3 linked regions of the Alligator mississippiensis genome follow. Each later gene encodes a partner of the first gene's protein in a complex. Links are inferred from orthologs where the notes say so. Each region holds a gene or a part of one and is shown on either strand. Other genes may lie near its edges.

Evidence for each region.
Region 2: the proteins of SLC3A1 (region 1) and SLC7A13 are in contact, whole or in part, in a cryo-EM structure (PDB 8WK6), measured with the Homo sapiens proteins. The link is inferred for Alligator mississippiensis from reciprocal best matches to the Homo sapiens genes SLC3A1 and SLC7A13. Residues at the interface, in NP_000332.2 of Homo sapiens: Pro64, Tyr65, Ala66, Gly67, Met68, Pro69, Lys70, Leu73, Phe76, Ser77, Arg81, Tyr82, Pro85, Arg86, Leu89, Phe90, Thr93, Ser96, Val97, Leu100, Ile101, Thr104, Ile107, Ile108, Ser111, Cys114, Leu115, Glu194, Asn195, Asp202; in NP_620172.2 of Homo sapiens: Ile120, Phe123, Phe124, Pro125, Ser126, Cys127, Leu132, Pro133, Cys136, Leu137, Leu139, Ala140, Met141, Trp143, Ile147, Arg151, Lys187, Thr265, Arg267, Asp281, Arg282, Glu450, Cys454, Tyr455, Gln457, Leu458, Leu459, Phe460, Asn461, Ile462.
Region 3: the proteins of SLC3A1 (region 1) and SLC7A9 are in contact, whole or in part, in a cryo-EM structure (PDB 6LID), measured with the Homo sapiens proteins. The link is inferred for Alligator mississippiensis from reciprocal best matches to the Homo sapiens genes SLC3A1 and SLC7A9. Residues at the interface, in NP_000332.2 of Homo sapiens: Pro64, Tyr65, Ala66, Gly67, Met68, Pro69, Lys70, Leu73, Phe74, Phe76, Ser77, Tyr82, Pro85, Arg86, Phe90, Thr93, Val97, Leu100, Ile101, Ala103, Thr104, Ile107, Ile108, Ser111, Cys114, His201, Asp202, Thr373, Glu374, Pro375; in NP_001119807.1 of Homo sapiens: Cys137, Phe140, Tyr141, Val142, Gly143, Cys144, Pro147, Ile149, Val150, Cys153, Leu154, Ala156, Ala157, Leu160, Phe161, Thr164, Leu168, Thr279, Thr281, Asp295, Arg296, Tyr299, Tyr343, Val346, Arg347, Lys467, Thr470, Met471, His472, Gln474.

Annotation. Positions count from the first base shown.
Region 1 is NC_081824.1:196,898,680-196,909,266, forward strand, and holds the start of SLC3A1 (neutral and basic amino acid transport protein rBAT), read left to right. Parts: upstream 1-6,013; 5' UTR 6,014-6,088; coding exon 6,089-6,524; intron 6,525-9,615; coding exon 9,616-9,795; intron 9,796-10,587. UniProt on the Homo sapiens protein: Acts as a chaperone that facilitates biogenesis and trafficking of functional transporter heteromers to the plasma membrane.
Region 2 is NC_081826.1:50,304,574-50,314,711, reverse strand, and holds the start of SLC7A13 (solute carrier family 7 member 13), read right to left. Parts: upstream 4,227-10,138; 5' UTR 4,097-4,226; coding exon 3,373-4,096; intron 1-3,372. UniProt on the Homo sapiens protein: Associates with SLC3A1/rBAT to form a functional heterodimeric complex that transports anionic and neutral amino acids across the apical plasma membrane of renal epithelium.
Region 3 is NC_081833.1:60,111,991-60,122,955, reverse strand, and holds the start of SLC7A9 (B(0,+)-type amino acid transporter 1), read left to right. Parts: upstream 1-6,152; 5' UTR 6,153-6,285; intron 6,286-8,983; 5' UTR 8,984-9,005; coding exon 9,006-9,107; intron 9,108-10,965. UniProt on the Homo sapiens protein: Associates with SLC3A1 to form a functional transporter complex that mediates the electrogenic exchange between cationic amino acids and neutral amino acids, with a stoichiometry of 1:1.

The sequences.
Region 1 (10,587 bases):
TGGCTTTCCTGGTGGTAATTACATTGGCAAGAAAGGTGGGAGACACGCAAGCCCTTACGGTGGATCCTCTCTACACTATCTTTTACTTATAGAAAGTAAGTCTGAAAACTTATCCCAAGTTCTGCCAAACTTGTCATGGACTTCCATTTGGGGAGACCTCCATTTGGGTGTTCTACCCAAAGCCTTGTTCCTGACATGCAGTGGTTTTATTGTGGTCACTGGATGGGAAAAGTATATTGGCTTTACTTCCTATACTGACCAAGGCTATTCAAAAAAATCTTCATGGCTGTTTGTATGGGAAGCTGAGATCTAAAGCCTTGAAGTTGTCAAATGAAATCTATGAGATTGCTAAAGTGATCCTGCCATTTCAATAAGGGTGCAGTCCACCACAGTACAGCCTATTTCTACAGCAGCAGGTCCATTCATGCATTCACCAGCCATTGGGATAGTGTGGAAGCCTCTGGGGCAGATGCTGCACTGGGCAGAATGGTCAGTAGCCTTTCTGACTGCCTTTGCTTAGAGGAACTCTTGAGATCCATCTCCAGGTTTGTAGGCATTGTTTTGGAGTTGCCCACTAGTAAGAACATGATTGTGGACAAACATCCTAAAAAGAAAGCAGCTACTTATCAACTGAAGTTCTTTGAGCTGTATCATCCACATCCTTTATGCCAGATCAGACTCCAGGGGCTAGGTGGGACATCGTAGTGGACCAGATGATCTGACTTGCTGGCCATGACTTGACAACTCCTGCCCTAGTCTATGCGTATTCTTTCTCAGCTGATGTTGGAAGAGGGCAATCCTCTTACTTTCTATTGGCCTCTTGGCAGCTGGGAGCTTAGAATTCAGTTCCCTGTTTCTTTCATCTTCCACTGATGCCCAGTAGGTGGCATGAGTGTAAAACGGATTTATCCCAATCCTTTTCTTATTGGAGGTTCCTTATGATTGAGTTGGTTCAAATACTGTATTTCTGGACTCCCCAGGGTAATAACAGGAACCCAACCCACCTTTCAGAAGTTTCACTTAATATTTCATTGTTAGGTGCATATCTCTCAGTATTCCTTTGTCTTTCCAGTTTCATGTGGTTTCTATTGCTTTGACAATTCAATAATCATTAAGAAAAAACCCCAAATCCCTTATGATTCCTTTCCATTTCGTGGATATAGACTGTATGGTCTGTGATATGTAGGAAGTTCATATCATTTAGGGTAGGGGTGTCTAACATGCAGCCCATGGGCCATATCTGACCCACGGAGCTGCTCCATCTGATCTAAACTACTGGTGGGTTACCAGATGTTGGAGTCATGGCCCTGGGTCCTAGGCGACATGGCCGTTGGCAGCAAGAGGGCAAGTGAGGGCTGTGCACATAGTCCCATTCACCCTATAGTCTCTTGTGTTGCCACCATGGATCCTTTCAGTCCCACAGCAGCCACTGCTGGCCCCACCATGTGCCCCAGGGCAGATCTAGGCTGTGAGTAGCTCATTCAGTCTGCATTCAGGGTGAAGCACAGGGCAAGTTTCAGAGTCTTGTTTTAGGGCTTGAAACAGTACAGACGCTGAGGCCTTAGGGTACCTGTTGCCCATCTGCCCATCTGAGTGACCACTCAAATGCCTAGTTCACTTTCCTGCCACACTTTTGATGTTACTAATTTGGGTGTATGACCTCAGTCTGGTCATAGAGCAACAGCTTTTGGTGCCTCTCGCTGCACCACAGAGCCTGCTTTCCCAGGCGCTTGTCTCGGGTACCTGTTGCCAGGTTGCTTCAGAGTCTACTCCAGGGGTGCTCAACCTCTGGCCCACAGAGCCATTGTATCTGAATGCAGGGCTCTCCACGGATTGGGAAACTTGGTAGTGGGGGAGTGGTGGCAATTAGTACTGCCGTCCCTCCCCTGTTGCCAAATTCTCAAATGCAAGCTGCATGCAGCAGGTTATCGCTGAGCCATACCCTTTTCCCCCTTGCCCTCCCTCATGGCTGGACTGGTGTGTCTCTGTCTCACTTTTTTGCTCTCTCAGCTCTGTCACAGCCCTGTCCTCCTCCTCCTCAGCCCTGTCACAGAGCTGATACAAGAAAAAGAAATGGTATTTTGAAAGAATACAACAGATTATTCACATATAGAAAGAAGGTGTTTATGCTTTGTAGCTTACTATTTAGTGTACAAAAAAGAAAAAGACCCCCCCCCCCAAAAAAAAATAAATAAAAATTGCACATTCCTTGCAGTATTGGGAAATTTGATTCTGTAAACTTTAGTTTCTGGTTTACCGAGAAAGTTGTTTCTTAACCTTTTTAATTTCAGTGTCTGTCAGGCCCTGTGGATTCTGTGTAGCCTGACAAAAAGGGTGGAAATCTCTGTCCACATGCAAATCACAAGTGTTTAACAATTGCTTGAAACTGGTAAGCATCAGACTTTTCATTTGTGGGGTACATGAATTGTCTGAGCCCTTTAATCCATGTATCTCATGTTGTCTCTGCCTGTAGGAGAAGCTGATGTCTGGAAGTTGGTGAACTTGTTGCTGGAGTTGTCATGGACAGGGCAATAAGGTGATTACCTCCTGATTTTGTAAGCAGAAGGCCCTAGTAACGTCTTTAGCAATGTATATTCAAGACAGGTTTGACTTCTGCACATCCAAAATGTACTTTTGACTCTTTTATGGTGACCACTGTTTGCAGTTATGAATCAGATGCACAAACCAAAAATTTAAATTTCTCAGCCTGGTGGTGATAGTTCAAATTTCCAGATTCAAACCCTTGTTCTACCACAAGACAAGCCACATAGATCACATTAGATCTGGGATCATACTAGGTCCCACATAGATCATGCTAGGTCTAGGAATATAGGAAAGTATGGCTGGAAGAGTTCACAAGGTCATTTAGTCCAACCCCTGCTCAAGGCAGGAGCATTCTTGATTAAATCATCCTGGCCGAGTGTCTGACTTGCTCTTGAAAATTTCTCTCTGTGTCCTGTTCCAGTGCTTGATCACCTTCAAAGTTCTTCCTGATCTCCAGCCTAAATTTCCTCTGCTGCAGCTTGACGCCATTGCTCTTAGTTCAGTGCTCTGCTGCTACAGAGAATAAGCCTTCTCCATCCAGAACTAACTTGAATAGCTCTATCTGGCACTGTGTTGGGCTGTGTAGACACCCTATGTTCCTAGATGTTGTGTGCCCTAAGAGGAAGTCATTTACCGTAACAGGCTGTTAAATGCCTAACTCCCATTGAACTCTTTATATGACTCTATATGTGTCCCAAGAATCCACAATGTTTAAGAAACATGCTTATGGTCTGAAGGGGAAAAGAGCTTTAGCCTGGGGCCAAATTGGCTCCCATATACTTATACCTTCCTTACTTAGAGGTCTATATAAAAGTTCATTCAGCCTTAAAATGTCCCACTGAATGTGCTAAGTTAGGCCATACAGTCAGTAAATTTATGTTTAAATAAGTGGCCTGATTTCTGTGGTGCTTTGAACTAAGTTCCCACTCACTACTGAGTATCTTAGATGGACAGAGTTTTTTTTATTAGGACCGAGCCTGTTCTTTGGAACATATATATCATTTGTAGCTAGGGCAAAAAGCCTGGCTTCTGTATGAATGAAGCTAGTCTCTCACCTCAGGAGAATTTTATAGGTTTTCCTTGTTTACAGTAGGTGAGATAATGTTACGTGCTCAAATGCTACAGCAGCTCTTGCATCAATCCAGAACAATATTGTAATACTAGCTTATTATAGTGTATTATACTACTGAGTGTTTAGTTAAAGTGTCTATGGGAGATGAAACAATACGTTGTCTTGGCTAATCTAGGTTAGTATTACCTTTCTTAACCTAGCTCTGGCCGTAGTTCTAGCCCCTAATTGAGCAAAGGTGACCTTGTTTATGGCAGGTTTTGCTAATGTGTGTTCTGATCTGCTTTGATAACCCTTTCTGGTGACGTTAGGCCCTTTTTATGTTCCTTGAGCCATTCCTCATCCTTTTCTGCCTACGAGTCTAGACATATATAATAGTTGCCCATCATCTACTGGAGTAGGCATATCCGCAAGAAAGAATTTTTTCTACGAAGGAAATGTTGAAAAATCCTGGGATCAGTGATACCTGTGAATGGGGGTTTCTTTCTAGGCCAGGGAAGCACTCTGGGAGACAACTGAAGTAGATTAAGAGCTTTCATTTACTAGTAAGGAGAGCTCTAGTGAAAAATCCAGGCTCTACCAAGCAGCTTCCCTCCGAGACACTTCAGTTGCGTCTCCCACTAACAGGCTCTCATTGTCCTTTCTCATTCAAAGGAGCCTTTCGTGGGCCAGTGGCAGGCAGGAAGAAGAAGTGGGACTGATAGAGAGCAGGGATAAAGGGTTGACAGGGTAAATTCTTCCTCTCCCTTTCTCCGTCTGTTTGGGGGAAAATGTGACTGTTATTAGGGGAAGGAGTAATGAAGCCCAGGGGTAAATTAAGACTATTTAATGTTTCACAGAAAACATAATAAAAAATAATGTCTCAGACTTATAAAATGGAAACCATGGAAACTTTTACAGACTCTTGTCTGTAAGGATTGTAAGGATACTAGGTGCTGTAAAATACTAGTAAGGGAATTTATTTTAATTAATTTCCTTTGTGTTGAAATCCATCGCTTTCCCCCAATTCATGAGAAACCCTGAAAATATTTCAAATAACTCTCAAATTTCCGGCTGTGTCTGCTTCATCCCTCTCAGCTTGAACAGTTGGAATGATTCTGTCATCACATTAGGACTAGGTAATGAAAAAGGAAGGGAAGGATTACAATTTCCAAATAAAAAGTACTTCATTTTTTCCCTCAGGTCTGACTGAGAAATCACAGAAGAAAATTATCAGCATTACACACTAAATTCTTGTCATTAGATTGTAAACCTCCGCACTGCATCAGTTTGGCTGCAAATTCAATGGATATTTATAAACACTTCTTTTACTTTTATTATAGCAATATGAAAGCTGCCTTATTAAGAGGCTAAAACCAACAACCTATACATGAGAAGGATTTAGACCTCCCAATCGTGTATTCCTCGGCCTGCATTTATCTTTACAAGTGGTGGGGCAGACCCTCAACAAGTATAACTTATGAGTCTTCCATTTACTTCAAAGATACTGTGACATATGACAGTACTCAAGGATCTGTCCTACTTGATGTGGGGCTATTGGCTTGAGCAGATCACAGTACATAAAGCACCTGTGCAAATCTGTGCAGGACTTGGGTCTTAGTGGCTTTTATGGACATTTTGGGTGATTCTCTGTTACCCAACCTGGAACAGTCAAATTTTGTTGTAGTGGATAGGGTTATTTGTACTTCAGCCTAATAATAGATCATCCATCTATTGCTTCTGTGCAAGCCCCATTTACTTGAGTCTATACATGGGTAGCAGTGATCCCTTCCACAGTGGATCATGGTTGGGCCTTGTACTTGATAACACACATCTGCTTCCTTAACTGGAATCTCACATCATTTCATTTGGGACAACAAATACATCATTAAAACTGTGTTGTGCTTGTCCTGAAGTTATCCAGACATTTGGATTCTCCTCAGGAATAAGATGCTTTAGTCTGTTCTATTATTTCTGTGCCAGAAGTGTCAGCAAATTGTTCTCATGACTGATTAAATTGCTCTTTAATACTTTTCAGAGTAATTTACACCAGGAAGTTCCTGACTCAAGAGATATGAGACTTGCTAAGCAAATGTTTTCTTGCTAGAAGTTGAAGCAAAGGCCATCTCCTTTTCAGGGCTGTGAGAAGCAATAAAAGTTTAGTAGGGCTAATAAGTGTGTGACAGCACCTGAAGCCTCATCTTTGATCAGTCAATGTAAGAAGTAAGCTTTCATCCCAGTTGGACAAGATTTAGTCTGCACTTCCTTGTAATATTTTACCATTTAGTTGAGGACATTCACTATCAGTGAAGTCCATTATGCCAAGGGGTAGAGAGCACTTTGCCCTTTCCTTCTCACTGAACTTTGACTGGTTGGTCAGGTTTATTATAAACCCAATGCTAATGACATAACTGCCCATTTTCCCTGAACAAAGGTAAGTTGCCACCTCTCCCAGCTGCAGCAGGACCCCCCCCAGACAAGACGTACCAAACAAAAATGGCTGAAGAGGAAATTAAAAGCTTCTCTGTTGAGCTGAGTGAGAAAGGAGGGATAGAAAACAATGGATTTGTTCAGGAGAAGACTGTGGATGAAAATGAGACCAATGCCAGTCGCCAAGAAGAGATGCCAAAAACATGTGCTGTTGGCATCAACCCAGAAAGTACACAGGAGCCCTCTTGTGAAGTTTTGAAGCCCTTTGCAGGAATGCCTAAGGAAGTCTTGCTTAAGTTCTCCTGTCAGGCACGGTACAGAGTCACCAGGGAAATCCTCTTTTGGCTTATAATTGCATCTGTGCTAGTGCTTGTATGTGCTACAATTGCAATTATTGCTCTGTCTCCAAAGTGTCTGGGCTGGTGGCAAATCAGTCCCATTTATCAGATCTATCCTCGTTCTTTTAAGGACACCAACATGGATGGGAATGGTGATCTGAAAGGTGAGTTGCTTTGTATTTTTGCTGTGCTCAAACCTTGCTAACATGAAGCTATATACATTATACTTCACATGGCATAATGTTATTTTTGGAAAGAGTAATATGGAAATTAATGTAGAGGCAGCTATATGTCAAGAAAGAGGCGGGGCAGCTAGAACTATGATTATCTTTAAAAAAAACAAACAAACCCTCAGGAATGGGTCATGTTCATAAATCCAAGTCTAGATTTAAAATCAAGTTAAAACCTCCCTGTGTTTACCAGTCTTCAGATCTGGGATTCTGGTGAAATACTGCAGAGAGAGGTTACAAAACTGACATCCAGATTATAATTTCCCTGCAAATTGGGTAGGAGAGCATAGAGTGTTTGGGATCTAATATTTTGCTGATCAATTGGTCAAATGCCATGCTGACCTTAGTTCTGTAATGTATCAATGGATAAAATCCCAACACCAGGGGTGGGCAATTATTTTGGCTGGAGGGCCGCTTAACAAGTTTTGGGGAGCTGTTGAGGTCGCAATGGCAGCCCCGCCCCCTGGTCACCATCCTGGGACTGGAAGTTCTACCCCCTAAACCCTGACCTTTGCCACTGGAAGTCCTTCCCTTTGCCCCTGGAAGTACTTCTTTTGGCAAGGTGGTTTGCTATCTTGGAACCAGAAAAAAAAAATTATATTCTAAAAATCAAGCATCTACTACAACATGCATTAATTTGATTTAAAAAAATATTTTTGTCCTGATTTATGTGTGTATGCACAGTGTACATAGAGGTAATTGCATAACAACTTAAAATGAAATCTTACTTTTGTATATTGTGGGGAGATGTAGAGGAGTGAGGGGGGGGTATGAGTGGGCAGAGGGCATAGGGTTTGTGCGGGGCTGTGATTGTGTGTGTGGGTATGTGTGTATGTGGGGTGTGGGGGAGAGTATGAATGTGTATATGTATGGGATTTGTGGGGGTGGATAGGTGTGTGTGGGTGGGTATGGGGTTTGTGGAGGGGTATGGGTGCGTGTATGTGGGGTGGGGGAACGTGGGTGTGTGTGTGTGGGGTGTAGGTGGATATGGAGTTTGTAGGAGGCTGTGTGTGTGGGGGGGGAGGGTGGCATGTGTAGGAGGAGGGTGGTTGGAGTATGTGGGGGGTGTCGGTGTGGGATGTGCATGAGGGTGCGGGTGTGTGTGCATGGGGGTGCAAGGTGGGGGTGTGGATGCATGTGAATGGTGGGGTGTGCGTGTGGGACCCACCCTACAAACACGCTCCCCCACACACACACCCCTCCCTCATTATGCACAGCCTCTGACACTAGTGGCAGCAGCAGGCAGTGGGACTTTGGGGCACTCATGACCCATGGCAGTCGGAGACTCCCGGTGGTGTGTGGTCCTGGCAAGCCCCAGGACTGCACATGGCCAGGCTGCCAGCAGGGAGGGGGGCAGAGCCAACCCAGCTCCATAGAGTCCCTGTCAGCTTGGGCTCTGTGCTCCTGCTGCCCTGTCTTGGGCCCCCACCAGCCCTGGCCTTGGGGCACTGGCATGGGCCCTACACTCCTGCCCAGCTGCCACTGCAGTCCCACCTACCCTTTTGCTGTCACTCCCCCCTGCCTGCTGCCGCTGCCACTGCCACTTCCCCTGCCACTTCCCTACCTTCCTACCCAACAACACTGCTCCCTCCCCCTCCCCCCCAACCTGCTGCTCTGACAGCGTGCAGTTTCTGGCTGTATGGCCAGAACTGCAGGATGCAGCAGGAGCCAGCCTGGCCTAAGCCAGCCCAGCCTGACACAGCCCCCACAGTTCCCAGCTGGCTCCTGCTGCACCATGTGGTCCTGGTCATACAACTGAGAACTACATGGTGCAGAAGCCAGCCCAGCCCATCTGGCACCATGCAGTTTCTAGTTGCATGGCCAGGACCTCATGGCGCTGGAACTAGCTGAGAACCATGGGGGCTGGGCTGGATGGGGTTGGTTTCTGCTGCATCCTGGAGACCCAGCCATGGAGCTAGGAACTGTGTGATGCCAGTGAGGCCAGGCTAGCTTCTGCTGCATTGGCGTTCCTTCCCCCACCCCTATCTGGTCTTACCTGAGTTTCCACTTTCAGACAGAGGGAAAGTGGGGGAACAGCCTCAAGGTCACCAGGCCAAAAGCCTTTGCTAGGCTGAAGCTTCTGGTTGGGGGCTGGGGGTGGGATGGGATGGGGACACATGGACCTTGCTCCTGCCACTGCTGGGTCCTACCACTGGCTTCTCCTGCCCCTGGTGCCTCATCAGCTTTTAGACAGGCAGCCACTGGCAGGTAATAATTTTCTGAATTTTAGAAGGGTCCCACAGGCTGGATAGAATGGCCTGGCAGGCCAGATCTGGCCCACATGCTGTATTTTGTCCTCCCCCGCCCAACACCAATTGAAACAGGGAAAAAAGAAGTATTTTCTCTGTGCATTTCAGATGATGATCTCCAAGTATATCTGATACAAACAGCTGGTGCCAAACATTACGAACTCAGTTGAATTGCAGTTTTTACTCCAAAAATGCACAGTAAAGGAAGGTAGTAGGCACTCTTCAACAGCAAGCAACAAATGAAAAAAATTCCAAAGGTGCATAAGAACTGCAATGTAGCAGGAAAATACACTAGTCTTCATTGAGAAGAGGAAAGCTGGTGTGATTTTCAGAGACAAAAGAGAGAATTGGAGTGAGAGACTAAGCAAAAGTGCTGATTTAAAAGAGAATGTCTTTCATCTACCTGGAGGTAAAGGCAGGGCCATTTGTTTTTATATTGTGCTAACCTGCCTCTGCAGGTGGTGTGAGGATTTCTTTCCTAACAAAATGGAAAGTATGAGATAATTAATACATTTTATTAGAATTAATCTTTTTCAGTTGCTATTGAATAAAGAATTTCAATGGCGGTCAATAGTTCCCATTCTGTGACTTTGTGCTATAATGTAAGAGTTTCAAGATTCCTCTAGCCTTAAGGAAGGAGGTCACATATCCCACAACCCACACATGTCCTGCAGTTTGAAAGTCTATGACAACATCAGCTCTGGTGCCAAGTCTTTTCTATAGTTGCTTTGTTTTGTCTTTGTAAGAGGTTTTGTTTTGTCTTGTCTTTTTCACAGGTATCCAAGAAAAACTGGACCATGTCTCACATTTAAATGTAAAAACAATCTGGATAACATCCTTTTATAAATCCCCCATAAAAGATTTTGGGTATGGAGTAGAAGACTTCCGTGATATTGATCCTATGTTTGGAACGATGAAGGATTTTGAAAACCTGATTGCAGCTATTCATGATAAAGGTAATCTGGAGATATGGCAAATAGCAGTGCTTCTAAAAATAGTCATTCAGGGAATAAAAGGTTGCTCTTGTTTCAGTAACTACATGTGATTGCCTTGCATTAAATAATTTACGTTGGCTTTAAATGTATGGATTTCTCTTTGTAACACTAGTTCTCTAGCCTTTTCTCTTGGCACAGGCGATAGGAGCCTGGCCAAACCAAGGATGGGTTGGTGTGAAGATGGCATTGCTTCTTGGCCTCTTGAAGGCTCAGATCAAGTATGACTCTGCAGCCTGGGTGGTCTTCCATTATCACTGGTGGTTCATGGAATTTGGACTATATCCAGGAATGGGAAGAGAAAGTCAGTATAGCAGCAGAGGGCCTTTCTAGATCCAGGTATCTCTCAGCAGATTCTCAGGTGGTCTCAACTTGAAGCTCTTTCCATATTGTTTTAGGGACAAGCAATGTTCCTTTTCAAGAGATTGTATTTACTGGTACCTGCATCAGTATTTTTAACTAAATCCTGAGATGCGTGCATTTCTGTCTTAGCACCATAATCAGTAATGTTCTTGTAGGAGTTTGGTTTTGGGGTGATGAGGTGGTTTGGGGCCAGAAATGTCACCCTAGGTCCAATAATCTTTTCCTTCTGAAGCGCATACATACATAGATCTGTGGAAAAAATTCTGACTGGTTGTAAATTCCCAGGGAGGAAGGAGGCATATGACTGCTTTCAAAGGAAATACTTGCATATGCAAATGTAAACAAGCGTAGCAATATCTGCAGGATTGTAGCCGTAGGCTTGTCTATGCTATA
Region 2 (10,138 bases), on another chromosome or scaffold:
CCAATCCACCCTCCCCCACTGAGCCCCGATCCCATGCAAAACATTAACCCTGGAAGGAACACAAATTTTCTAAGGCATTCTGCTTTAAAGCACCTTAATCTAATACTTCATTTGACCAGGGTTAATTTTTTGCATTGCTAGCCATTTTGAAAACATTCTGTAACTGTACACATGTGTTAAGTCATGGCTGTAGAGCATTTTTAGGGGCCCAATGGTGGAGCGTGTGTGGGAGGCTGTGGGTGCACACGTGTGGTGTGTTGTGTGCACATAGCATTGAGTGGGGCTCTCCCCAGAGGCATGTGGGTGTGTGTAGGGGGGTGCATGTGGGGTTTGTGGGGGAGGATTTGTGGGTATGGTGGGGTGTGCATGGGAGCTCCTGCATACACCCCCCGATCAGCACCCGCCCCCACCCCACAACTGCCCAGAGCCCTCACGTCCCGCAGTGCCTCCTACCACTGCCAGCAGTGCACAGCCCCAGCCCTACCCCAGGCCTACTTCAGCCTCCCCCCCACCAGAACAGATCAGCAGGAACTCGGACACAGCCCGCCCTGGGCCTTCTCTGCACTGTCTGGGCTTGGCACATCCTGCCGTCCCTGGGCACAGAGTGGGGCTGGGGTGGCTCTACAGCTTGACTGCCTTTCTAGAAAGCCCAGGTGGTAGTGGCTCCTTCCAGCTCCTGCAGCCCATGGTACCAGCAGGGACCCATGTGCACAGCCCTACCCCTACACACTCCATGCCTGCTCCAGACTTACCCACCCAGGCTCAGCAGCAGCAGTATGAGACAGAAGCTGTTGCTCAGAACAGAGGACAAGCAACCTCTCACTGACAGCTGTTCCTGCTGCAGCCACCTGGAGCCCACGCCACGCTGGGTTACCCTGCATCTTCTCTGCACTGCCACCACTGCCCCACTGAGCAGCCCAGAGGTGGCAGTGACGCATAGACGCAGGGCTGCTCGGTGCAGACTCCAGGTAGCTCCAGCAAGAACAGCCCAGTGGTGGCAAGGAGGAGGACCACTTTTCCCCGTGCTGAGCAACAGCTTCTGTCCCAGGCCACCACTGCTGAGCCTGGGTAGGTGAGCCTGGAGCAGGTGCAGGGTGTGCAGGCTCAGGGCTATGCAGCACAGGTCCCCACTGGTACCCCAGGGCTGGGGCCACCATCAGCAGCAGCCGGAAGGAGCTGCCACAACCTCAGCTGCCTAGAAAGACAGTCCAGCTGCAGAACCACTGCAGCCCTGCTGCATGCCCAGGGGGCAGCAGGATGTGTCATGGCTCTACTGTGCCTGGGCCAGTATTTTGCCCACCCCTGTTTTAGATAGGCTGGCTCTCAGCGTGGGCTAAATGATGCATCATATGTTCTTGTTCTTCCTGTGCTTTTGAAGAGCATCATGGGAAAAGACTCCTGAATAGGAAGGCCCATCCTTAGACAAGAATGGGAACATAAGCTACCAGAGTAAACAATATTAACTCTACCATCTTCTGAACATAAGCCTCCAGACTAAACAATGCCATCGTCTGAACTACTGCGATGGTTATGAGGAATGTTATATATTATCAAATAGTGACAAAAGCAAATAGTTTGATTTGGTTCTGAATCTACTTTTTCACACACAATCCAAATGTTTTTAGTTTGTAGATGTACGGGTGGGGGGGGGGGTTGATAAAGTCAGAATTATCTGTAGAAATACTTTTGCCAAAAGAAAATGTTTAACTGAAAACCCAATTTTATATTGAAAAACAGATTTCATAGAATTTTTCCAACCAGACTTACTTTTCAAACACCTTTTTAAAATTGCCTAGATTTGAATTGACAGATTCTTTACAAATATTATTTACAATTCTTAAAACTGCCCCAAGATAAAGCCCCATTGAGCTTTCACAAGCACATTTTCCTATTATTTAATTTTTTCTCCTGTTGCTGTTTGAAAGACCTACACAAATAACATGTAAGAGTGATTGTACAGGAGAAAAAATAAAACTAACACCTAAAGTACTGCTAAGTGAACCCAGTAAATGCCAGAGAAAAAATCCAGGATTTCTCCCCCTCCTAATTTCTTTTCTTAGATATAATATTGGTAGTTACTTGAAACAATACTTGAAAAAGTGTAAAAATTCAGTGTCAAAAAGTATAGATTCTGCCTAAGTATTATAGAGTCTAATTTGTTCTACTGCATTAATGTTGCTAACCAAACATAAAATAAAATAGTACAGTATAAATACATTTGCAATATCTCGTGTTACATCAAACTTGTACTTTTTTTAAAAGGCCCTAATAGGATTTCAAATTCTAGTTATTTTATTTTATTTTATTTTGGGGGAAAAAATTACTTTTTTCTGCAGCATAGTTTCAAGCTAGAAATAACCAGTTCATAAACTGCCCTTTTTAAAACATTAACTATTTTTCAAGTTTTCTCTGCTGATCTTTGTTACTTTTAATTTGTTTAATATTTGACTAATGAGAAAAAACGAAATAGATAGAGAATGTTAAAGACATAAGAAGAAAAACTCAGAACATACAGCTCAATCCTGCAAAATGTTTGGGTAATCATTAGATTAGTCCGGTGTTCATGATTGGCTACATTCCTGTTAACATTGTTTACTCTGAAGTTGTTATAGAAGTTTGTCGTGCTAATTGGTTTTGCTACTATGACATATGTGGCACTATATATTAAGTGGAATAAATGAGTATATTACTAAACTATTATAGGCTTTAAAATGTTTAGAAACAATATATTTAAAAGGGCACAGAAAAGTGTTTATACTATTTCCTTTACTTATTTTTTTTATTCTCCACTAAGAACTGCATTGCTAGGGAAATCAATAGCTCTGGTTCACTGCAAAAATTATATATTTTTAAAGTTTTAATTTTAAATTTAATGATTAGTCCATGCACTAATAGAAAAAATACCATTTAGTAGGATAATGGTCTGTGCTTTGTGTGGCTGAAGGCACTCAGTCCTTACTATGTGAAACTCTCATCACCCCCATCCTACCCCACTCCAAGTAACACCCTCTTTTATATAATTGCAATGAGATTAAAAGAAGGGAAAATCAGCATTTACGTTGTGAAAGTTCTGTATGTAAGAGAGATTTAAATTTAAATCTTTGCTTTCCATATTAGTCCAAATTTAAATATCCCTTTTGTTCTGGAGACCTCCAATATAGTTATAGTTTTAATGCACATTAAGCAAATAAGTTCCATGTATGAGGGCAACCCTCTTTTACCAATGGAAACTCATAAGGTCCTTGTAAATAGCCAGCATTTTAAAACACATGTCTGCACAAATATTATTTTCACAGGGAGACAAGTGATAATAACATTGCCTGAATAATGTGAGAAAGGCTGCTAAAAATATATATTTTTTAAAATAGCTACCTGCCATGTAATTGAGGGACCACCAACCACCATATGCATATAATCCTTGGAAAAAAGCTTCTGCAATCTGTGATGCATCAGGAACTTCTGAACTAAAAGCATTCTCAAGCCTTGCCAAATTCTCCTTTCTTCCTCTAACCAGCAGGACAATGCCACCTATGGCAATTACGGATAAAGCCGTCATCTTCAACACTGTGAAAACAGTTTGAACCCAAGCAGCCATTTTGATGCTGCGGCCATTCAGAATCCCCAGACACCAAAGAACAGCCAAAGCCAAGCATTTTTTTAGCAGCTCTGGTACAGGACAGGCACCATAGAAAGGTTGAGTGGCATATTCTGCAAACAACAAGGCTCGGGCAGCATTTGATGCTGGCTTTGTAAACATCGCTGTCCAGATAAAGATGAAAGCAGGTGGAGATCCGAGTGCTCTCTTTATGTGACTGTATTCTCCTCCAGAGAACGGTAGTGCAGTCCCCAGCTCTGCGTAACAGAGGGAACCCATCAGAGATATTACTCCACTGGCAGTCCAGATGCATAGCGCAACACCCACGTTAAGTAAAGAATACTGTAGCACTCCTGTAGGAGACACAAAGATCCCTGCACCAACTATGGTGCCAATTATAAAACTCACCCCATTAAAATACCCTATTGTCCTTTTGAGTTGCATCCTATCATCTTCATTTCTTTTCTCTTCTTTTACATGGTCATTCCTTCCTTTTCCCATTTTCTCAGTCTTTTTGCAGTTAAGATCTATGACTAGAGGTTTGAGAATGCTCTTTTGCCTCGCTTGTTTTCATTCAGAAAAGGCCAAGATCTTACTTGCCAGTGAAAGGCTATCTTGGTGAATCTTGGCTTAGTCATTCAAAGGAAAAAGCTTATTCTGTTTTTTTGGTGTGTAACGTATGAAGATGATTAACCAAGTCTTATGAGAAATGCTGGCAGCTCTTCATGTAGCAAACAACTATTCATGTAATATACTTGAGTTAACTGTGTAGTCATGGCAGCCAAGACCTCAGTGCTGGCAAGCTGTATTAGTACTTCTTAGAATTCCAGGCAGGAACCAACTATTATTGGTACCCACCAGAAAAGCTACCTAACAGAAAGCTACACAAGCTACAGTCATTCTCTATGTAACTACAGTGTAGATTTATCCATAGAGAAGTAAACTAATTTATTGTCTTGTGTATGAAGTATATCTAAAAGAATATGAAACTCTATTAAATAATGTTATAAAGTTGGCCTGTACAGCTGTAGTCCAGCTCCCTTCTGCATATGGATTATGACATTATTGTTAATTGCATGATCCACACACTATTTTTTCTACATTCGTTACACGAAATAGACAGTTTTGACTTAAGGTTCAATTGCCTTGATTCTGACATTTCCTAACCTTTGACTGCTTAACTTTGCAGCCTCAGTTTTCTTTTAATGAAGTTTGTATATATGTGTGTACATGCATGTACAATTCCTTATGCTATTGGTTCTCAACCAGAGTGTAGTGGCATATTATTAAAAGTGTTACCAAATATTAGTACTGTTAGGTATAACATCTGCACGTGATGCACAAAATAAATCCAGAGATTTCAAACAGGAATCCATACTGTCAAAAATATTTTGACATGTTGTGGTCTTCCTGAGTGCTTTGCAGTAGAAGAACTGCTCTATAATTTTTCTGTAGTCAAGTAATGAGTAAAAGCTAAGAGCTGAGATTCTCCAAGGGCTGCCTTTAATTTTAAAAGGTTGAGAACCACAGCCCTAGGCTTTGCAAATTGAACAACAGAAATTTCATCATGTGACATCTTATTGGTCCCTACATGTGTCATCACATGAGCAGAGTTAAAAATCCATTACACAGATCTCTGCAACGTTAAGCTAATATGGTAATTAATGATAGCAGTAAGCTGTCATCTTCTACATAGATCAGCATTAAACAGGAATGGGACATATTGTCTCTTTGGGTTTCACAGATATTTGTTGGCTGCATTTGCTGATGTACGGGTGTTATGTTTCTACAGGGATAATTGCTCCTTTCCCTGGAAAACCCACAAGTGTGCAGGCATTTATGCAATTTCTCCTGGAACAAAAATGGCAGTCCTGGAAGAAAAATAACCAATCTCTGACACAACAGAATTTGCTCCCAGGAGAAGTTCTCCTGGGAGAATGAATGCCTGTACACTTGACTCCTCCGAGGGACCAGGAGGAGTTGAGCAGTGAGGAAATGCTTCTGCAGCTTCTCCAGACCAGACCAGACTGCGATCAGAATGGGCACTGCGTATGAGGCAGTCTGACCAAAATGATAGTCACACTGCACGTAATGGCTGTTGGCTCTGGATTTTGGATCCAGATGCCATGTTCCGGGGAGGGACCCACCAGGAGGGGGAAAGACCCACCCACCCTCAGACTGACCATGACCTTTCTACTCACTAATAGGCAAATGTACTGATACCCAGTGATAACTGAAAAGAAGCAACACAAACAATCAAGCAGTTCTATATATCTACCAAAGGCTGTCATCAGAATCAAAGTACATCTGGCCAGGATCTCTTAGGCATCAGATGGCAGCATGTGAGCAGTCTGGAGGTAGGATGCAGAGGCCTACACTCCTCCTCCAGTGGGGTGGATGAGACAGATTGGTGGTGTACCCTTTCTCCATAGTGGCCTTGGGGACCCTTCCCAGGGGACAGGGATGTGGAGAAGAAGGACCCAGGTGGGACTGGGGAGAAGGGACATGAAGGAACCCAGGTGGGATAGGGAGGGGCCCTTTGTTACTCTCCAGTCTCTCTTTTGCATTCTCCTTTCTTCCTGATGACTCCTGATGACTCTTCATCCATGGCTATCACTGGTTCTTCCCTCTATGTAGTCAAAAGTCCATGTCCTCTGTTGTCACACACTCCAAGCCCGTTATGTGCACACATACTAATTTGGTCTTTCCAGGCCTTCTCCTAATTTGGTCTGTTCCCACAAAACTGGGACTCTGGCCTGCTCTGGGGCCTTGTTAGCTGGTGCTACCTTATCTCATGTTATGGACAGTGTAATACATGTCCCCCTCTTTCCCAGACTGTTTTCCAGACTATGTGTCCTTGTTGGCGTTGTTGTGTTAGACAGCCTGTCTGCTTCCAATGCTGTGTAAAACTGTATGACCCAGACTCTTAGAAATCAATTAACCCCCGCTTCCCATCCTGAACCATTCTAATGCATATACATATACCTATAAGCCAATTTCCAAAAACAAACCTCTAAATACCTTTTCTAAGCCAACAATAGCCACCCCAGCTGCATGGTGCCACACACAATGCCTGCTCTGAGATACATGCTGCACATGCCGCTCACTCCATCTGTTCTTGGACCCATGCTGCATGAAGAACTGGCAGGTGCCACAAGCAGTGTAGTTCTGGACTGGCTGCAGCAGGTACTGTGTCCAGTGCAGTCCAGAGCTGCCAGGGCAGATGACACATTCAACACGGCTGCTACTCTGACCAGACTGAGCCACATGTAGCACCCACTCCAGCTGCTCCAGGATCCCTGCCCCATGCTAGTCATTTGGCCCCACAAGTTTGACACCTGTACTCTAAAAAATTTAGTTGCCTTAATTATTCAGCAAATATATAGAAGCCCAAGGACTGAAGAGAGTATCAAAAGAAAATGCATAGTTTTCAAAGCAGAGTCACGGGCAGTTAATTGTCTTCATCATCTTCTCAGAGACTGCTACACGTGATGCTATGTTGCTGTAGCAACTCACCACAGTGACATAGCATCCATGGGCAAAACCCATGACACTGCAGCTATAATGCCATAGTGATATGCTCCCCTGTTATAGCATGTCACTAAGGTGATGTAATCCCTAAAAACAACCATGCACAGTGCACATGGCGCAATACCAGCTGTCACAGAACTGTCTTTTAGTACTTTGAAAAGGATAAATGATAGTGCGGTAAATGCTAAATGATAGCGCAGTAACAATAGTGCCATAGTGGCACGTGTAGACATGCCCAGAAAGATATAAATGGTTGACAAAAAGTAATTGAATGCATGCTTCCCCCTACCCTTGTTTTTCAGTGCACCTGTTGTGAGCAGTTGATGATCATAAATCTTTACAATCTCCTTCTCAGTTTAGTAAGTGGCCTCCTCAAAAGCCCTTCAAGGAGTTCCTAAGCCCTACTGGAGAGAAGTCAGTTTGCTATCAGCCACATTGTGCTCTGTGGTATATTCAAACCATTTTCTTTAGAAAATGGAATTGAACCTTGAGGGCATGTGACACTTAATCTACTGCCTTGGCAATTTGCTTCTTTTCTGGTGCTCTGCCAAAGTTACCGTACAGCTGCCTTTTACTAAGGAACTTACGAAGCTACACATTTTTCTTGGCAGATGCCAGCTGTGCTATTCTGTTTGTATCTTTGCTAAGGAAAACCATAGTAACAAATGTACCTAATGCTAAAACAAGGAGTGTGAGCAAAACTGTTCCTGTACAGAGTTCAAACTCAGTTTGTGCCATTTTTGTACATAAAGGACATCTCCACCATCTGTCATTTTGAGATATTTCTTTCTGAGCACTATATTTACTCCAAACCAAGATGAGGTTTTCCCTCTAAGCTGCTGCAACCACTCTTGCATTACCAGGCAGGGACCAAAGTCATCATGTGCTCTGTGGCCCAGCCTGGAGCAGAACTGGAGCCACAATGGAGAGTAAATGGTGGTGGCAGAGCAGGAAGAAGGAGGTAGAGCCAAGTCAGTGCTGAGGGGGGTGGTCACAGGTATGGTAGGTGGCAGACACCAAGGGGAGGAAGATGCCAGGAGTACCAGGCACAAGGGAGGGCAGCCATCAGGGGAGCAAGCAGTGGAGTGGGGCAAAGTGGTGGTGGGACAGGCAGCAGGGATCAAGGTGTGGGGTGAAGCAAGAGATAGGAGAATAAGTGCCAATTTTTATTTTTGCCAGGGGGGTCTAAGATGATGGACATGTGGGAAGTTTTACACATTTGAGGTGACAACCCTCTTTCTGAGGCAGATCTGGAGGGGAAGCTCCCTGGATCCCTTTTAGCTGAGCCGGCAAGGAGCCGTGCACGCGAACAGAGCGTGCAAAAGGCGTGCTCTGAAAGAGTGCACTGGCGTTTGTGCTAGGAAGGTGTGCAGCATGAGCCAGGAAGGAGTCTGCAGCAAGAGAGAGAGGAAGATTCACAGCTCCACGGACATGGACATGGTAAGAACACGGGGAGCAGCTGCTAGGGACCGCGACTCAGGGGTAAGGACCAGGAGGGCAGCCACTGGGAACCCCGCGCTGGTGGTGCCACCTACCCTGGGCTCCTCTGAGACCCCCACCCAGACGGAGGCCAGGCAGCCCCCCTGTCTGTGGGGGCTGCCTGGCGGGGACCTGGAGGCCACGGGTAGGAGTGGGGTCTGGAGGCTCCCTTGACTGTTCCTCTTGTGCCCGACTTTGGGCCCTGGAGGAGCAGGTGAGGGAGCTCCAGGCCGAGGTGAGCAGCCTAACGGGAATCAGGGCTGCGGAGGATGAGATTGACACACATTTCCATTCTTTGCAGGATCACTCTTCCAACCAACAAACCTCCTGCAAGAGAGACACAGCCAAAGAATAGAAGGTGACCACCAGAACCAGGGCTCCTCAGGCTAGCATGGAGGCAGCTCCCCAGGTACAAATGGGGAACATATTCAAGGCCCTGGCAGCCTTGGAGGAGAAGGTAGAAGGAGATGCCTCCAGAGTGGATGGTGCCACTCTACATGTGGCACAGTGTGAACAGGGGCGCAAGAGAAAGAAATGCTGAGTACTTGTCATCGGAGACTCCATCCTGAGGGGAATGGAGGGCCCCATCTGCTGATCTGACCCCATGGAGTGTGAGGTCTGCTGTCTACCTGGGGCTTGGATCCAGGACATTACAGGCATGATCCCAAAACTCATTTGACCTTCAGACCAGTACCCCATGGTCCTAACCCATGTGGGAATGAATGACGTAGCGGGGAGCACTCCAGATCACATCATGAAGGACTACGAGGCCCTGGGAACCAAGCTCAAGGAGACGGGGGCATAGGTGGTATTCTCCTCCATTCTCCTGGTAAGTAGACGCAGTCAGCGCCATGAGGCCTGCTTCGGAGTGGTCAACTGGTGGCTTTGGAGTTGGTGCCACCAGGCAGGTCTCGGGTTCCTTGACAATGCCCCACTTTTTCACAAAGGGGGCGTGCTCGGGTGGGATGGGTTTCACCTCTCCCCTAAAGGCAAGCATCTCTTATCTTCCAGATTGGCTGATCTCATATGGTGTGCTTTAAACTAGCTTTGCTGGGGGATGGGGCCACAGCAGGAAATGACGATGCTTCCCAGCCATGACAGGTGACAAGCACAAAAAGTACCCAGGTAAGTGGCAGGGGTCCAGATAGTCCTGGGTTCAGGGGGCAGAGCATACACCCACAGGAGGTCTTAAATGCCTCTACACTAATGCACGTAGTATGGGGAACAAGCAGGAGGAATTCTCCCTCCTGCTAGCTAAAACAAACCTGGACATAGTGGGGCTCACTGAAATGTGGTGGGATTCAACCCATTACTGGGCGGTAAACATCAAGGGCTACAGACTATACAGGTGGGACAGAATGGGGAGGAAAGGTGGTGGTGTGGCGCTCTATGTCACAGAGCAATACACATCCTCAACAAACAGCATTGTGTCAGAGGAGGGGCTGACTGAAGTGCTCTGGGTTAGAATACAAGGTTGGCAGGGGGAAAGGGACTTAACGGTGGGTATCTACTACAGACCATGCAACCAGGGGG
Region 3 (10,965 bases), on another chromosome or scaffold:
GCTGGAGCAGCTCTGGAGCACCTCTAACAACTGGAAGAGCAGGAAGAGGAAGGGAGGGAAGGGGATGGGATGTGCCTCTGAGCTGGGGGTTCTTACCACTGTGAGGGCCTAAAAAGGTCCCTGACTGCTGCTTCCATGGTGCAGTCTGCTCACCTTCATCAGCTGGGGGCTGAGGGAAGGATGCTGGAAGTGGGGAGTACAGCCACTCCAGCAGCACTGATTGCTGCCCCAGCACCTCTCTTAAAATCCTGGGTCCACTTCTGAAAAAAGATAACAGAAAAAACTCACTGCACTTGGTCAAAAATGCATTAATTCATCTAGATCAGCTGACTTGTTTTCTATTTTTAACAGAAGGGGGTTTTTTTGTCCCTGAAACACGTAACTGATAAAAATTTACAAACTCAATGAACTAGTTTTGGTCAGTCATGAACCACGACATTCTTACATATTCACAAGATTTGTATTCACATGGATTCTTATGTATGATCTATATTTTAAGAAGGCTTGAGCATATCACTTGCTTCAAAAGCTGCTGCCACTGAGTACAGCACCTCTCAGAGCTGGGTCTGTATTCATCTTTCACAACAGCAGGGAATTGCAAAGGTAATTGAAATTCATTCATTCTTAACAGCAGGAAATCTCAAAGTAATTGATTGCTGAACTCTTTGGTAATTGTGGTTTCAGGCATTTATTACAGCAATGTTTATGCTACTTCTGAGTGCTCTAATAACCTGGAATAGTCTGTTTACTCATAATGAAATAGTGCTGTAAATTGTGAATCCACTCTATACATACAATTCTGATTTAGTTACTAATGCATTATTAGTACCACCCATCCTTGCAAATCCTTTTTGCAGTCACAGGTTGTACAAATAGGTAAGAGCACAGAAGCAATATTTTTCTTTACAGCTTAATGAGTATGAAGCTTTCAAGGATTCCTTACGTGTGTCTTCAGACAAGCTGCTAATACAGCGCACAAATCAGTGTCAAAGGGCTCGGGTGGTGCGTATTATACAGAACTGCAGAATCAAAATGGATATATAAAACAGAGGCCAAGACGGATGTTTTATTCTTGCTGTGGCAGCAAGGGATAAGACGTCACAGAGATAAACCCAATGCCATAAGTATTGAAGATTAGATTTACGGACTAAAGGAGCTCAAAGTTCTATGTGCTATGAGCAGGACTGAGTCAGACCAGAAGCCTGGGAAAACACATGTGATCCATGCTCTATCTGTACCTTAGCTCAAATTACATCTGCTTCTTTTCCAGACCCGAGTAAGGGTACCTTGAGCCTGAAAGCTTGCCTAAAACCTCTCCTAACTATGCAGTTGGTCCAATAAAATATATCATCCCCCAAAATCCGTGCCTCTCATTTCCTGGACTACCATGTCTACAACACCACTCCAACATAACCACATATAACATTTTTGTTTCTTGCAAAAAAAAAAAAAAGGAGACTGACTTTAAACAGACATCTATGGAGCACAGGAGCAGCTGTCAGAAACATGACATCCCCTTCTCAGCATCCAGAGTGGCATCTTAGATGGACAAATGCGACCTCCCCACTGGATTCTTCACTGAGAAATAAAATCAGATCTATAGACTGTCAGGAGACTTTTAGGTTTTAATTTACAATAGAGCTTGTGCTTATAATGGTTGGAAAAGTACATGTTTACAGTATCTGAGCTAGGAGGAAAGAGGATCTAAAATTTGCTACATGGGAGAAGGTCTATCTTTATTTTGATATTACTTCAAGTTACTTTTATTTTCACGAAGGAGTGGCCAGTAGCACAGGATTGTGTATATTTCCATACACAGGTCTGCATGTAAATTTCAACCCTGACTAGCACCACTCCTACTACTATTTCAGAGGTCTCAGATCTTACTGAATTTTCCAGTGATTTTATAATTCTAAGCATCATAAAATTCACCTTCAACTACACTTCTGTGTTAAACTGGCCCTTGTAAGTATTCTATTATAAACTCTCTCAGCTGTCATAGGAGTTTGCCTGCAATGGTAAGGAATCAAGATATTAAAAGTATGGACCAATATTGCAGAAAGAACAATTATTGGAAATTGTTCCAATTTTCTCCTGCATTACTACACCACTACCTGTGAGGTGGCTTCTGCTGTGATAGCTGATTCCACTTTTTCTTCTTGTATTGGATGGCTGTCATCAGGTACTTCTGGTCATATGTTGTCTGCTGCACAGCAGCCAGGTATGCTTCCAGATTAATATCTCTTAGTTTAGTAGCATAATTTTGTATTGTCCTGTTTAAGTTGATCCTTTTTGGAGTATGTTAGGTGAAGAGAATAGGTTCTCCGTTTCTATGAGGTTTTCCTGCAGAGTTGTGTCACGTATATGGAATTGTGCACGCTAGCTAGAGGGTTGCAAATGAGTCCCCTTGGGATGATGCTTTTTTTTGTAGAAGCTCAGGAAGAAGGTACCACTGTGTAGTCTGGCTTTTTTTTTTTTTTTTTTTAAGGTTACACACACTCCATTTTAAGTGGCAGCTTTCAATATCTTCCATGTTTAGCATCAGAGTGACTTTGTAGCCATGGTGGTCTAGGAAATATGCAAGAAGCAAGGATTTTGTGGGTGATCTTTTACTGGTCCAACTGCATGGTTGAGACAGACAAGCTTTCAGATGTGAAATATTCTTGATCAGGTCTGAGAGAAGCAGCAGGCACAGTAATGATTTAAAAGTGTGCTGGGCTGTGAAACTGGAAAAGACATAAAACCCCAGGAGTACAAAGACAAGCAATTACCAAGAAAAGACAGCTTGATTAGTGGAAGATCGAGACCTTTGAAAAGGGAAGAGGGTCATTATCACCTGCAGTAGAAAAAAATGTTCAGGGATTACGTAGATTATAGTATGTCATAAAGTCAATTATCAGTGTTCAGTCCTTGGCTCTTAGTGTTCAGGCAGCTTAAGAATTCTTGTTCTAGGGCTCGCCTTTTGAAGGTGTTCTGTAAATTTCCCTTGAGCACGAGGATAGTGAGGTCAGAAAAGGAGTGGCTGTTCTGTGAAAAATGCATTCCTACTAGTGTTTGTGTCTCTCTCTCCTTTATATTCTTTCTGTGAGAATTTGTTCTGGTGTGCAGTTTATCTACTTTCATCCACATAGTAGTTACCATGAGAGCATTTGGTGCAGTGGATCCAGTACACCACACTTTGGGAAAGGCATGTGTAGGATTCATGGATTCTGATGAGTTTATTGTGGGCAGTGTCTATTTGTTATAGCAGCAGAGATATAGACAGGTTTTGCATCTTCTGGTAAGGCAAGGTTGCAACCTGTTTTATGTCTGTTAAACAGTGGGGAGTTTGCTTCAGATAAGCTGCTTCAGAAAGTTAGAGGGTTGTTTGAAAGCCAGGAGCAGAGAAACATGCATGGGATACGTACCTCTTCAGAGAAGAGGTGCTTTAGAGCGTATATTAGTAATATGAAAAGTTGCCTTGCAGGAAGAGGTCTTAAACCTTGGTGACTTCACATCTGCAATGTCCAGAGAGGTCTGGTACAAGAGCCCCTTCCAGACTTGAGACCTATGCTACATCCTAGTTTATTCTTAACTATATTGCCAAAAGTAACTACACTAGCTATAACTAGGAACTAACAAAAAAGTTGCAGTTAGCAGAGATAAGGATGTTGTAGATGTTTCATCTTGTAGCCAAAGGCAGTAGAAAAGAAATGGAAAGCAGAAATAGCTTTCCCCATCCTTTACATCTTCATCTGTCAGTTACTACAGGACAGGCAGGGTGCATATGTGGACCTGCTAGTCAAAAATATTCTGGTCTCACATGTGTAGCATCTATTTCTGATGCATATGAAACGCACAAAAAACAATCCTTAAACCGCAGTCCTTATAGTAACTTCTTAAAGCAAGCTCTTGTTCTTAAACAACAAGAAAATCATCACTCAAAGAAAGGAGAAAGTGCGAACAACACATCATTCCTGTTAAAATTACATAGTCTGTTTCAGTGATAAGAAAAGGAAAAAGTTCCTTTTTGAAATGCTTATCATTCAAGGCCCAACTTGTTACAATGGTAGAATATTGTTACTGATCCAAAGTAACGGACTCCCGTGTTGCCCCCTGCAGTGTGCGAGCAGCTGAAGGAGCTCACCGAACAGTATGAGAAGCTAGAGAACAACCTCAAGGTCCTGCAGAGCGTCGGGCAGGTGTGGCGGACAGGCTGCCCCAGGGCTTTCTTGGATGGGTCTTTTCTTGGGCTGCCTGTGCTGGGGGTGACATCAGGATCAATAGCAATATTGCCCTATTGCACTATCAATGCACTATTACCAAGCAGTAAATACCAACCCTAACAAATATTAACTTTTTATTACCAGTTATTAATAGCAATGTTATATAAACAGTAACTATATCTCTACTAATTTATTACTACTAAAAAATTACTCTGTATAATCATGCTGAGCATACTTCTAAATTTCAAAATCTGCAGCCAACTTCTGTTCAGACTGGATTATACTCATCTTAGAGCTTCTGCTTCAGAAGGTCCTTGGAATTTGAGCTCCTTGATCACATCCATTCATGAGGATGAGACAGAAGTACTCTTTCTACAACAGCTAGGGAATTTCACATTAGACATTATTACACCATCGCCATCTTGCTCATGGACGGCATGTTACCAGAATCCTCTCTCTTCCATTATTTGGGTGCTTCAGCCTTAATTGACAAAGGCAAGAACTACTCGTCAAATTGCAATTAATTTAATAAGCTCAGAGCATCTTAAAACAATGAACTGCCAAGAACAACTCTGGAAGGCAGGTTAATATTATAGCTGTTTTAAATATGAGGAAACAGAACTGTTAAACTCGATCAGCAAGTCAGTGGTTAAGGTAGATGGCCACTGATCAGCAACAGACCATAGACACTGAACATACATCCAGGATGACTCAAGCTGTCTGTCTCTTGATCCAAACCTGAAACAATGTATACTAGATGTCTTCCACAGTTAAGTTTTAATATTTTATTGTGTGGCACCAAAAGAGAAATAAGACTGAGGCCAGGTCTGGGACTGGAGCTGCCACTGCTGTTGCTGGGCCGGGGCCAGCTCTGCTGTCTTGCCAGCACCAGGGCCTTCAGGTACTTCATGGTCTGAGCTAGAGCCAGAATTACTGCATCGTGGACGCTGTGGTGGACACTGTGGGGAGGAGAAGTGAGTGGCAGGGGAGGCAGGTGGGGAGGGGTCAGAGGACAAGGGGCACAGGTCAGGCTGCCTGCCTGTCCATATGCCACTGCTTTCCCTGCTGCAGTAGTGGTGGGGACAAATTTAAGATAACCGCCAATTGTGGGATTGTACAGGACAAATTTATAATTTTCCATGTATAGATCTCATGATCAGGAGGTCTCCTTAAATTTGAAGTCATCTTGACTGTTGAGTTGTCCAGATAATAGTGTGCAGAAACTCCTCTTACTAAGCAATTCTTAAATATATTTTTAAACCTAAGGAGATTTCTAGGTTTCTTCATAAGTATAGTGTTAAGGTTGAGAGACCATTTCCCCAAAGAACTCTAGAATGATTTGTAGCCAATTTAGTTTGTAGGTGTTAGAAAGTCAGGATGTTCCAAGTTAAAAATGTCTTGAAAAGGTACTTTTTAATTTCATGTTAATGGATGAAGGCAACTGAAATCATGGTTTTCTTTGTCTTTTTCATGTTGGAAATGACTATTGACTATTATACTTTTTCTGAAATACCCTCTAGGTCAGGATCAAATTCATACTCCCTTACCTTTTAAAGATAAAGTAAACATTTGCTATGGGATGTTAGCATCTGGAAATGCTTTTCAGGTTACTAAACAACTGATGGTCATAATAATAAAAATGCTCATTTCCAAGGTACTTTTCCTTTATATTTGTTTATGAATTAGAAAGACCTTAACACATTTACAATCATAACAAATTCTTAATTTCATGGGGTCTTAGGTCACTCTCACTGCATAATAAGACACTCCGATGCTGGCCAAACATTAATAGAAACAGTTTATTCATATAAATGGATAAATCCAAAAACATTTTTACAGATAAACTAAATGGGCTGTTGGTTTACCTTGGATTCGTATCTCAAAGCTTCTTGGCTACAAATGTGTTTAATAATTACCTTTTATAACCTCTGTACTTAAGCTTCTTCCTCTTTGAATAATCAGGATTGAAACACAGACATTTCCAGCTGACTAACTTTTGATAAATCTAACTGGAGGGGTGAAGAAACACACTAGTCCAAAAGCTGTGAGACCAGATTTATGACATACGAATAGAAATAAGGTAAGTGCAAAAGCAATGTTAAAATATAATGCTTTAAATTACTATTTAAATAAAACTTTTAAAGTAAAACGTTAGGCAGAGAATTGTAATAAAATTCAAGCCTTGTGGTCCTCATACATTTAAGTCTGAATCTTTATTTGGAACCATGATGAATATTTTGAAGTTTAAAAAAAATAAGTTTATAGCTGAAGATGTATATTAAGATATTGTCACTATTGCTAATATTTAGCTTTTTTTTTTTATTTAGATGAACTGTTTAGATTTGCACCCTCATCTTTTGAGGATTACTGATCTGAAATGTTTAATGCTGGAATTAATACTTTGAGGATTTAAAGCACCATCCATTCAATTTGTATTAGTAATAACCAGCTAAATTGACATAACAGGTTGGCCACTGAAATGAAACAACAAGCAAACAATCTATTAATTTATAATACATAAAACTGTGATTCTTTCAAAATTCTGTTCTAAGAAATTCAGAGCCAAGGTCAGAGGGAAATTTTGCGTGACAGGATTGTTAAAGAGCATCAAGTGTAAGCTTCAACTTGCTTCACCACTTGATAATATACGAATTAAATGTTCTAGAAAATAAAACATTACTATTTCAAATAAAGTTAATGAGAGCATTAAGTTTACTGGTCTTCGTTCCAGTTTAGGAGAGCATCAATTACTTAAGTGGGTCTTTAGAATTTTAGTTGTAACTTTTAACTTATATTGTTAGTACCTGTCAATTTTATTTTAGGAAATAATATATGATGCAGATTTACAAAATCATATTTAAATAAAACTAAGAAATGATTTAAGCAAGAATAATGGCAAGGTTTAACACAAGTAAATTATCTAATGGAGATTTTTTTATGCAAATGAAAACTATACTTGGAAAATATAAAACCAGGATCCTAAAGTCAACTCTTATTTCTGAATGGCTGCATTTGGCAAGACAGTTTTATACATGGTTAATTGTTTTTAAGTAAAATATATATGAAAGCCAGAATTTTATACTCAGGTTAAGACCGGCCTTTGTTTTTCAGTTAACTAAGAAGAATCTTTATGTGGTTTTTGCTAAGGATTGTTTAGTATTTAAATGAGAGTTTAGCAGAGTTCCTGATAACTTTAGAATAATACTTAAATCTTATATAGCACAACACACATTCATAGTAGGCCTGTGCAAAACAGCTAGTATTCGCTTCGGATTCGGCCAATTTTGGGGACAGTGATTCGATCCGGTGATTCAAATCACCATCCTGAATTGATTTGGGCAAATCTGATTCAAAGATTCGGCTGCTGCCAAATCAGCCGAATCACATAGGCCCCATCCCCACCTGCCCCAGCTCCCGGCTCTCTAAGAAAAGCCTGCACTCACCAGCTGCTTCCAGGCAGGGGGGTGATCCCTGCTGTCCCCTGCTGTGTGGGGGCTCTGCCATGAGCCCCCTGCCCTCCCCGCTCTCCCAGACCCCGCTATGGCTGTCCTGCCCACCTCAGCTCCAGCCTTTAAAAAACCCTCAAACAAACAAAAAAAGCCTTGACTCACTGGCTCCTGCCTGTCAGGGGAGCTATCCCCGCTGCCCCACACCATGTGGGGGGCTCTTCCACAAGCCCCCAGAAGCCCTGAGGCCACTGCAGAAGCCAGTGAGTTGGGGGGAGGGTTCTTAAAGGGCCAGAAGCTGGGGTGGATGGGGCAGCAATGGGAGGGTTGGGGGAGCGGGCAGGGGATGGGGCCTGGCAGGGGCTCCCCCATGGTCACCTCCCCCCGACCCCCTACTTACCAGCTTGGAGTCCGGGTCCAGCTCCCTGCTGCAGTGGGCAGGGACTGCCCAACTCACCAAAAGATTCAGAGAGCTTCGAATTGATTCATACTTTTTAATTGGTCCCCTGATTCGATTTAGATTTGGAGATTCGGCCACTGAATCAGACCGAATCTCCTCCGAATTGAAATCGGCACCTGAAGCTTTGCACAGCCCTAATTCATAGTATAATGCAAATGTTCCCAAATTATCCTTATTCAATTTGAAAATCATTTTACAATAAAGACAAATAATTACATTAGCATTCAAAGTCCCATTATGACCCACCATGGTTCTTGAATAAATAGTAAATACAGTAAAAGTTCTGTTATCTGGCATCTCACAAGCTGGCATGCTCTGCTAACCGGCATGCCGGCTTGTAAGATAAAGTGAAACTGGAAGTGCCCACCATGGCACTTCTGGCTTCTCTGAGCCGCCATGGCTCGGGGCAAAGCAGCCTGCATTGCCGAGCCCCCACAGCTTGGGGGCATAACAGGCTGTGCAGGGCTATGCAGGACCCACCTCCATGTACTGCAGGGCCCAGTACTGCCATGGCAGGAGGGGCAGCAATGCCACGGGAGGGGCGGAGGGACGCCCCAGAAGCAGCGTGAGAAGCAGCGGCCAGGGCCGCTCAATTAACTGGCATATTTTGTTATCCAGCATCTCCCATTCCTGGGGGATGCCGAATAACAGAGCTTTCACTGTAACTGAAAAGGAGGTGTACAAATGTATGCGCCTTTACACACTACTCAGCTACCCTTCTGAAACTCTTTAGTGATGAGAGGACATTACTCTTTATTGTTGTGACAAGTTAATTGAATATTTGTGCAACATTTTATTCACAATTTAGGATTCATCTGATTGCATATAAAAGGAAAAAAAGGAAGTTAACCTCTGTTTTCATATCTTGAAAGATTCCAACATTAGATCAACCAAATGGATGAAGAAAATTTAAGGAAAAGAACAGGAGAAGCTAATGGAGGAGATGAACTATCACTTCAGACGAGTAAACCCAAAACTACAAATCTACAGCAAGAGGCAAGAAAAATTTTACACTAAATACCTTAATAGTACTGCACTTCTGCTATGTTTAACATTGCTATAGAACAGTGGCACTCAACCTCTTGCCCCCAGAGCTGCTTCATGCAGCCTGTGGGGCTCCCCACAGGACTAGAAATTTGGTAGCAAGGGAGCACTAGCTCCCAGAACCATGGCAGTTAACAGATTTCCAGATCTGAGATCATAGGCGCCAACTTTTAATTTGGGGGGGGGGGGGGAGGGGGGCCTAAGTTGATGCCCTCAGCATCCAGGTAGCACAGCTGGAGCACAGCTGAGAAGAGCCCATAGGGGAGCAAGGGTAGATGCAGGCAGCCTGCTGCAGGCTTGGGGCTCCCTCCCCTCCCCGCAGGAGCTCCATACCAGCCATGCCATCATGGCAAATCACCCCCTGCCTGCCTGGCAGCAGTGGGGGGCAATATTCTGCATCCCCAACCCTGCTGCTGCCAGGTGGGCAGGGGGTATCTCGCCATGGCAGCACGGTGCTCTGGGGGGAGAACAGGAGGGCAGGGAGCCCCAAGGGCAGAACAGACAGCTGTATCCACCCCTGCCATGTACATAAATCTGGAAGGCACATGACCCCTTATGCCCCACCTTCCAGGGAGTGTGTGTAGTAGCAGGAAGCCACCCTTCCCCCTGGTCCCTCAAGGAGCCACCTGTGGCTGTATCTAATTCCCCACCTCAGGACACATACACTACCCTGGCTGGGCAGCACCCCCAGGTCCAGTCCCTTCCCCACTCCCTCCCTCACTGTGGGGTCCTCAATTTGCCCCTCTCTGTAAGCTTGCCTGCAGGCAGCTGGGGGAGCTGCTTTCTACCACTACCTGGAGATATACTCCTGGCCACATGCATGCATGTACATACACACATACACGTGGCACCCCCTAAATCCCGCTCCCCACAGGCCGTTGTAGGCTGTAACTCTGCCAGCCTGCAGGAAACCGACCATTTTGTGCAGTTTTCCATGGCAAACAGAAAACCCAGATCCCTGCACAATACTGGGAATCTGGGACAAATGCTGTCCTGAAGTCATGTAACCTGGGACCAGGACCTGATGTTCCCATTTCAGGACTGTCTTGCCCAACTAGCTATGGGTGGTCATCCTACCCTCTTCTCAAGCAGGGCCAGGGCCCTCGGGCCCCCATGTACTCAGTGCCTATGGTTTGGATGACAAGCCCCTGCATGCTAGATCATGCCAGTGCATGCAGATAGGCTGCAGCCAGATCACACCTGCAAACTGAGCCTATGCTAAGTAAGGACTAAGGACAAACCATACATGCAGGATCTATGGAGCTGGAAAGTATTTAATGGAGAGATTGTGTCAGATTTCTATGTCAGACAGTGCTAATCAAGTAACAACTTAAAATTTATTGAGTTGTACACAACTAGGAATGCTGGATAAAATTTCAACAGCATTTGAGTCCCATGGGCTAAGTATAGACAATTGAAAAGCCAGAGGCTGAATCGATTCAATCTTGCAGGTTAGTCTAAACTGCGCAGAGTGAACCAGGAAGCAGGTAAACAGAAATTCACATTCAATTCCAGAAATACAGCCACACACCTGCAGTGGCTCAGACCAGAAGTTGTGGGGCACAAGAGCATGCCTCCCAGCCACTGCCAAAAGGAAGGGACGAGAGAAGCCCTCCAAGACTCGAGCAGAGGACATGTGACCAGGCCCAGCATGCTGAGGCCAGGGGAAGGGGGTGGGGGGCTTTAAACCCCCTCCCCGGCTTGCATGAGACCCCAGACCAGGTCTGTCTGGGAGGGGAGGGAAAGGGGAAGACTGCCCCTGCCAGGCTTATCTCCCAAACCCTCCTGGTCCAGGCCACCATGCTAACAG